2 linked regions of the Drosophila melanogaster genome follow. The protein of the gene in region 1 interacts with the protein of each later gene in a pairwise test. Each region holds a gene or a part of one and is shown on either strand. Other genes may lie near its edges. The genes, in order: CG10621 and dati.

Region 1 (3,935 bases):
TTCCGGATGCCAAATTCTGGGTCTCCCTGCAGTGCATGGTGAGTAATATCGCAAAAAACAATAACATTCTTTATACAAAACAAGGGTAAAAAATATATCGTTCAATTACATTTAAAAATCCACTTTATGTTCCGATATTTTCAGGATGAAAAGCACATGGCTAGTGGAGAAAACTTCGCGGAGGCGGCTCTCTCCCTCTGGCGGTTGGTCCAAAGTCGGAAGGCTGAGAACCGGCTCCTTGGGATCGGTCTGAACTGTGTAAACCCACTATTCGTGACCCCTTTGCTATCATCGCTTACCAAAGTGGCCGGTTCGGATCGCATCCCACTGGTGGTCTACAGCAATCGCGGCGAGATCTACGACGTCGAGCAGGGAGATTGGACTGGAACCGGCGAGGAGGTGGTCAAGTTTGTGCCCGAGTGGATCCAGCTGGGAGTGCGCATCGTTGGCGGCTGTTGCCGGGTCTATCCGACGGACGTGTTGGCGATCCGCAAGTACGTCGATGGCCTCAACATAAAGCCGTAATCGGGAGAGAACTCCGGTCACTGATAGCAGCCTTGTCGCTAATGCGAAAGCTGTTTCGTGTGACTAGACCTAGACCTATTTAGTTTGCTAAATACATATACGCGAGTACTAGATGTACCCAGATCAGATGGCTTCCTAATCAGCAGAGTGTGGAAAAAAGCGTGGACGGCTGGCTGGGAGACAAACACAGATTAGGCGGGCGGACCAAAGGTAAACAAGTGGGCTGGGGATATGGGCAGACGTTCGCCCAACGACTGTTTTTGCCAACCTAGCTCAATTTTTGAGTCCAAATCAAAACAATTTTCTATTCAATTATAACACAAAAACGTGCATTTGTCCTTTGAAAAACTTGCTGTGTTCTTAGCTTTCTATTCTTTATAGCCGGATTTAAATTCTTTAAAATTAATATTGTTAAAAGTGTGTATGTATGTACTGATGTAAAGCAATAAACTACAAAAATATCAAAAATAGTTGTTTTAGTTATCTTCAATATATCATATTTTTAGTACAGTATTAAAATAATATCTTCATTAGAGATTCATCAAATCTAATCACTTCTTACATATGTACCAAGGCAAACGCCTTCTGGTACGCAAGGTACTTTATAGAGAAGGGTATGCCCTTCTATTCTTGCGGTTCTCGACTTTATCACTATGAAAGATATTTCAAAATTTTTTGGAACTTCATACCGCATTTTTAAAAGAGTACTTACATTTTTGGCTGTTGAAGCTTTTGAGGATGGTGGAGCCACATGTCCACCTATTGCACTCTGACCCAATCTGGCAATCAGCCTAATCGGATACTTCGTTCAAAAAACATGATTTTAACGGCCATTTTCAAATTGAAAGCCTTTTGTCGGTCAATCTCTTACTTTACATTTTACTTTATTTATTTATTTATTTATTTATTTTTTTTTTGTCCAAATATTAATAACAATCATCACTTTAAGCTCATCTCTTTTAGAGGAGATTTTATTTGATATATCTTATGTCTTATTTCCTGTTCATTAGCGATTTGTTTACCAGAATAGGGGTTAAATGTTGTTTTTCTCTTTGACATCAGTAGACCTATTTTTGGACCATAATCTATTGAGTGCGGTCGGAAGCTCACCCATTTTCCTTTAAGGAGGACAGAGTCAACAACCAAGTACATCTTGAAGTGTTGGTCCTAGGCGGCGTCCAGAGGTTATCGGCGTCGACTTAGCAGATGCGACATCCCGAGCAGAGTCACTCGGAAGCCAGAACCACGCACAGCGGCGCTTTGACGATTTCATCAGCTTCATCAGCCTCGTGGAGGGGGAGTCGCAGTCCACCCGGACAATCCAATCTGGCTGGCCAGCGTCTGGCAGCTGTGCACCGGGCTTATCACCCACTTGGTGGGGGCACTCTCATGTTTGTGTTTGCCGTTTTGTTTTGTTATAAATTATTATAAATATTATAAATTTCGCCCTGATAAGCCGAGCCGCACAGCTGAGTGGCCCTTCGGAAAGTATAAAAGCCCCTCGACGATACGTGAAACATTTAAACGTTCGTCGAGCGTCCATTGCGACTGATCATATCCACCGTTCCGAAAGATTTGTGATAACCACTTGATAACCAACCAGCCAGTCTAGTGTCTAATAAAGTTGTTATTGAATTTGCCCATTTACAAGATCCATAAACAAGCTGTCAAGGTGAGTGCGAGACCTTATCGTGTGTTTTTCGCTTCCCTACCGATAGATTTTGATGACAGACGGTGTATACACTATCCAAGGAGTATGCTTAAAAGTGCAACAAAGGGATCTTATAAGCAATCTAAAAATGTTATGCTTGGAATACTTACATATATTAAATATTAATATATTTTTTAATTTGGAACAAGAATAGATCTTGAAACGTAATAAATGATTCACTTTAAAAGATATATATTTCTCAAAAATTGTTGCCAAATTTTAAAGAGCTGATGTATATTTTGAATTTAGCGTATACAGAATAAAATGTTTCAGGCTTTTAACTCGCCATTTATTGAGATACGTAAAAATGTGACCTTGGTTTTAAATTTGTATACTATTCAGTGAAAGCTGAATACTCCTAGAATTAAATCTTTTTTATAATAAATCATAAGACTCATATAACATATATCTTAGCTAAAGAACTTTGAGCTGTTTTTCTCAGTGTGTTTTTTAGATTAAGCCACTGGTCTTTTGTTCTGCCAAGTTCGTTGAACTGAAAAATAGAGATTAGTTCTTCCGATACATTGTATAACATCGCCCTGAGTGCAGTGGAATCCAGGTGGCAGACGCAATATACATATTTAATTATCTCGCAGCCCGCTGACGTAGAAATGTAACTAATAATCAATTTTCAACGGATCATCCTCCACCCCTCTTAGTAATCTTTCAATCATGGGTTTGACGCGCGTGCTGGTGAAGGATGGCGGTTTCGGCACCCAGATGACCGTCCATGTGGGTGACTCTGTGGATGGGGATCCGCTATGGAGTGCCCGCTTCAATGCCACCAATCCGGCGGCCATTATCAGCACCCACCTGGACTTTTTGCAGAGTAAGCAATTGTTTTCCGGTAGCAATTGGCAACATACTAACTGAATTTTCCCCTTGACAACACCAGATGGTGCCGATATCATTTTGACCAACACCTACCAGTCCAGTGTCGATGGTTACATGGAGTACCTGGAGCTGGACGAGGAGCAGAGCATCGAGCTGATAAAGAACACGGTCCGCCTGGCCCACATCGCCAAGGAACGCTATCTCACCGAGTGCTATCAGGCGCAGCTGTCGGTGCAGGAGGGTAAGTTGACATCCATGAGGTCCAGCTCGGGCGGGATTAATTTAGATTGTGGTCAAGTGAATGATGTGGTAGGGTCATTACTTTTAATACTTTCTTTAATACTTTATTTTATATATAGTAATATTTACCAATTATATATTCCAATTTATTGTTTTTAAAGGATACCCTTTGATCATTGCCTCCATTGGACCCTTTGGGGCCCACCTGCACGATGGCTCCGAGTACACCGGTAGCTATGCCGACTTTGTGCCGGCCAAGGAGATTACGGACTGGCATCGCGTGAGGATCGAAGCGTGCTTGGAGGCTGGTGTGGATGCGCTGGCCATCGAGACGATTCCCTGTCAAATGGAGGCGGAGGCCCTGGTGGAGATGCTGTGCGATGATTATCCGGATGTGAAGTTCTGGGTGGCCTTCCAGTGCAAGGATGAGAATACCCTGGCGCATGGAGAAACCTTTGCGGACGCGGCGAATGCTATTTGGGACCTCTTGGCTGAACGAAATGCCCAGGATAAGTGCCTGGCCATCGGAGTAAATTGTGTGCATCCGAAGTTTGTGACCCCGCTCTTTAAGAGTTTGAATGGTGACCGCGAAGTGGGTGAGCAGATACCGTTGGTGGTGTACCCC
Region 2 (3,935 bases), on another chromosome or scaffold:
GTATGATCGCCATTGTGACTGTAGGGATTCGATATTAACATGGAAGTTAGGATCAATAATTACCTTGAAAACAAACATATTCTCAGGCGATTACAGTACGATGACGGTTACGTCGCAGGTGATGGGCGGCATACCAATCAGGTAATGGTCCTATATTAGAAAATCCTATATCCTATTGACTTTTTACGTGCGACGGCTTTGCAGTTGAATGTCCGTGGGCTTAATATATACTTGAATTAGGTTTTTGATGTATTATTAAAAGTCATTTAAACTTAAGGCCGGAATAAGGCACACGTTACGGTGTCGCGATATATTGGTTATAAAATTCATTTATCGCCTATTTATCCCAAAACATGGAGTTAGATTGATGCAGTTTCTATTTGAATTTGTTTACATATAAATTTAAAAATTTTGTAAACGTTTGAATCACAATTTGTTACCCGATACGATCTACTATTTTGATGCCCAGATTTGTATTGTTCGGAAATACCTACATATGTACGCATTGTGACGTCTCATAATTTAATATACATATAAAAATATAATATGATATATTCCAATTTTAAAATAATTCGAGGTTCACATTTGTAACTTAAACGAATATTTAGTTTAAAATATCGTCCATTATATTACCGAAGAATGATATTTTGATTATTTATAGTAGCAATATCTTTAATTTTATATACTATTTTACGTACTGTTTACTATAATAACCACTATCTCTTCACGCTTAATCATGTATCTATACTATTATTTTTTGAGTATTGCTCTTATCATTAAAAAATAATAAGCGACTTGGTGTATAGTTACGTATGGTTATGCTAGGGCTAGCTGTAGGGTATGTGATAGTTCAAACTGTCTGTTCCGGTGTCAGTGTGTCTTCGGTAATCATTCAGGGAGTGTATTTTGTAGCTGTAGAAAATCTAAATGTTTTATTATATACTGTTTAAATTAGTATTAAGAGACTATATATGCAATTTAAATGACTATATGGTTATGTACACATTTGTGTAAATCATATAAATCATATTTTCGATTAGTAGCCTAGTTTGGACTTAAATCTTCACGTAATCATATTTTCGATTAGTAGCCTAGTTTGGACTTAAATCTTCACGTAATCGTTACTAAAACATACAGTTTTATATTGTATTAAATTTATAATTCTTTTGCGCATTCATTAATGTCGTTTTGTACTTTTGATTTCAATTTTGTTGTAAATTATATTTTTCATTTGTCTAAAAAGTAATTTTTAAATGGGTTTTCTCGTTGGTCTGTTTTTATGTTAGGTTATATTGGTTTAGATGTTATTTTTCGGATTGGTGATGAAGTTAATGTTGATGTGGTTCTTCCTTTTTGGTAATAGGTGTAGAAAACTTAGTTAATTAATGCATCTGTTCTATTGCGTTTAAAACTGAAAGATGGCTGGGTTGAGTTAGGTTTGTCGATTTGATCGTTTAGTTACGGATTCTTCTTTATTGTTAAAAACGATTTTTGGTCTATTGTGTTTGTTAAAATTATGATGATCTGAAATTAAATTAAAAGAAATATTGTTTTCATATTTTCATCTGAATTCAGTAAAACACAAATGAAATCGTCCAAGTAAGCATTGCCAAGCAATTCATTTGTGCTTTGTTTTTTTTTTTTTATCAAACAACTCTATTATTTGGTTAGTTTTTAGTTTTTAGCACAGTCCACAATCATTTTATATCTGGTTTAAGCACATTTGATAAAATAAAAATGATCCGCGAGGTCAGGACGATCCGCAGTCGGTTGTTCTACTCCATGGAATATTGCGTTTCTGAATGCCGCATCCAAAATAATTGAGAATAAAAATCATCGCCTCGGCATACGTTGCTTCCCAAGCTGGAGACTGGGATGGAGACAGCCGGGTGCCGAATTGGGGAAATAGCTGGCAGCAGCGGTGTGCTTATTATAAGATAAAAATTGTGTGTTAAACAAAAAGTGACAGCAGCGGGAGCGACAACAACAGCGAAAGCGGCGGATGTGGATTCAGATCCTTGCACTCGGACAGGGAACCTGTGCCAGCGCCGGCGCTGTTGGTAACTGCAGTTGCAGTGGCAGTTGTTTCAGCATTTGCAGTTGCAGCTCTACACTCAAAAAAAAATTGAATAAAAAAATTTCAATAAAGCACCAATTCCTGAATTACAATTCTTAAGCTCGGAGAGCTTATTGATATTCTTATTGCTCCTCAATTACACCTTGTAGGGATGACCTGATGAGGCCTCTAGTCTCTGTCTAGCCCTGCCCGTTCCCTTCTCCGTCTAAGGCGCGGGATATGGCTTTCTGGTCTTTTTTTCAAGTGTATTAAGCTGCATGCTATTGTTGCCCAGCGCCCATTCACTCCACGTGAGTCTGTGTGCGTACAGTGTACAACATATATGTATGTCTGGCCCATGCCGCTTTCATATGCGTTTTCGTTGCATCATCCCCTACGCCGCCCTCTCCAACTGATAACTCTCAAACAAGCAGGCGGAGGGGGGCTGTTGCACTCGTCGTTGGTCGTCGGGTCCCGTCAGCGCTGCACTTCCGCAGTAACATCCCTTATGGCAGCGTTGCAGCGTGATGACCACTGCAACCACCCAGCAAACCGACCTCCTCCCTGCTGTCTTGCTGCAACCACAGCACAGTCCGTTCTGGTCGGTGGAATGCAAATTTGTGCATGATTTAATGTCTACTTCAAGGCCTCTCTGGCACCTCCTGGCCCTGTTACTACCCCTGCCCAGCTCCTGTTTCTGTCCACGTTCAGCCATCTCCCTTCCGCCGCCGGACAGCCAGCCAACTGTTTCTGTCTAGCTCGAGTTTTGCGCTGCACTTGTGCATGTATGTGCGATATGGCTGCATTTCTGGTCTTCGTCACGGTGCGGCAGTATGCATTTTAATGCTTATGTGAAGTTCTTATGTACAAACACGTACACAATCAAGTGGGCGGCTCGCAAAGCACATAGGCATCCGGAAAACACTATTGAACCCTACCTTTTCAAAATGAATGTGCAGCCGTGTATGCTGCAGCATATACATATGTACATATTTAGGTAACGTTAGCCGCCACCTCTGCTGCTCAATCGATTTTGGTCTGTGCTTTGGTCTGTGGGAATCGACCTCTATCGATTTTCTTTAATATTATATTTATTTATGTACACACATACATGCATGCATTCGCAACAATTCGTGGCGTGGAAAAAAGCGGATACCTAGGGTATATGTATGTACATAAATATCTTCTTGCAAATTTGAATATTGTTTTAAAAGTATACACATGCTCAGTAAAAAAAAATTACAGGAAACCCACTATTTTTTTGTTGAAAATTATGTGCTATTCCCATAGATATATTTTACAGCAGTCGTACATGATTGATAAATACCTTATAGTATAGTACATAGTATCTTTTGGTATTTGGCTGCTATCTTGGATAGTGATCGAAGAGGACTTTGACGCCTTTTGGTGAGATAGTAGACAAGGCTACCATGAAGTCGCATTCACATCATCTCATAAAAGAGATCATAAACCCGAAATTCTATCAAGTCAGTCTAAATACAACTAGTCAATCCGCATACATATCTACATAATCTAAGGTTCAATCGGTCGACAGCTACGCATGAGCTTTAGGCAAAACCTAGGGTCCCGCGGTCTTAAAAATGGGCTTACAGTGTACAGCTAAATACAAGGACAGACCGAGCATACCAAATGTTCAAACTCACTTGACTCAATTGGTTAAGCTGAGAACTTGTGCTCAGAAAACGTGTTGTTAGGTTGGCTCAATTACGCACGTCAAACCCGGTCACGCTTACCTCAAACTGTCCTGATAGTACGGAAACACTTTTAGCTTTCCTTTTAGCATCCTAACTCTCAAGCAAATATAAAAATGATGGCTAGTTTTTCAAGATGTCCAGCAGTGCAATGCAAAAGAGATAAG

What was found.
Region 2: the proteins of CG10621 (region 1) and dati interact in a two-hybrid assay, tested with the Drosophila melanogaster proteins (one large-scale study listed by BioGRID).

What each region holds. Positions count from the first base shown.
Region 1 is NT_033779.5:18,952,534-18,956,468, reverse strand, and holds the start of CG10621 (uncharacterized protein), read left to right. Parts: upstream 1-2,037; 5' UTR 2,038-2,197; intron 2,198-2,678; exon of another isoform or gene 2,679-2,895; 5' UTR 2,896-2,908; coding exon 2,909-3,065; intron 3,066-3,131; coding exon 3,132-3,311; intron 3,312-3,471; coding exon 3,472-3,935. Other genes in the region: Bhmt (Betaine-homocysteine S-methyltransferase), read left to right, coding at 1-38, 145-525.
Region 2 is NC_004353.4:393,799-397,733, forward strand, and holds the start of dati (datilografo), read right to left. Parts: upstream 1,808-3,935; 5' UTR 64-1,807; intron 1-63.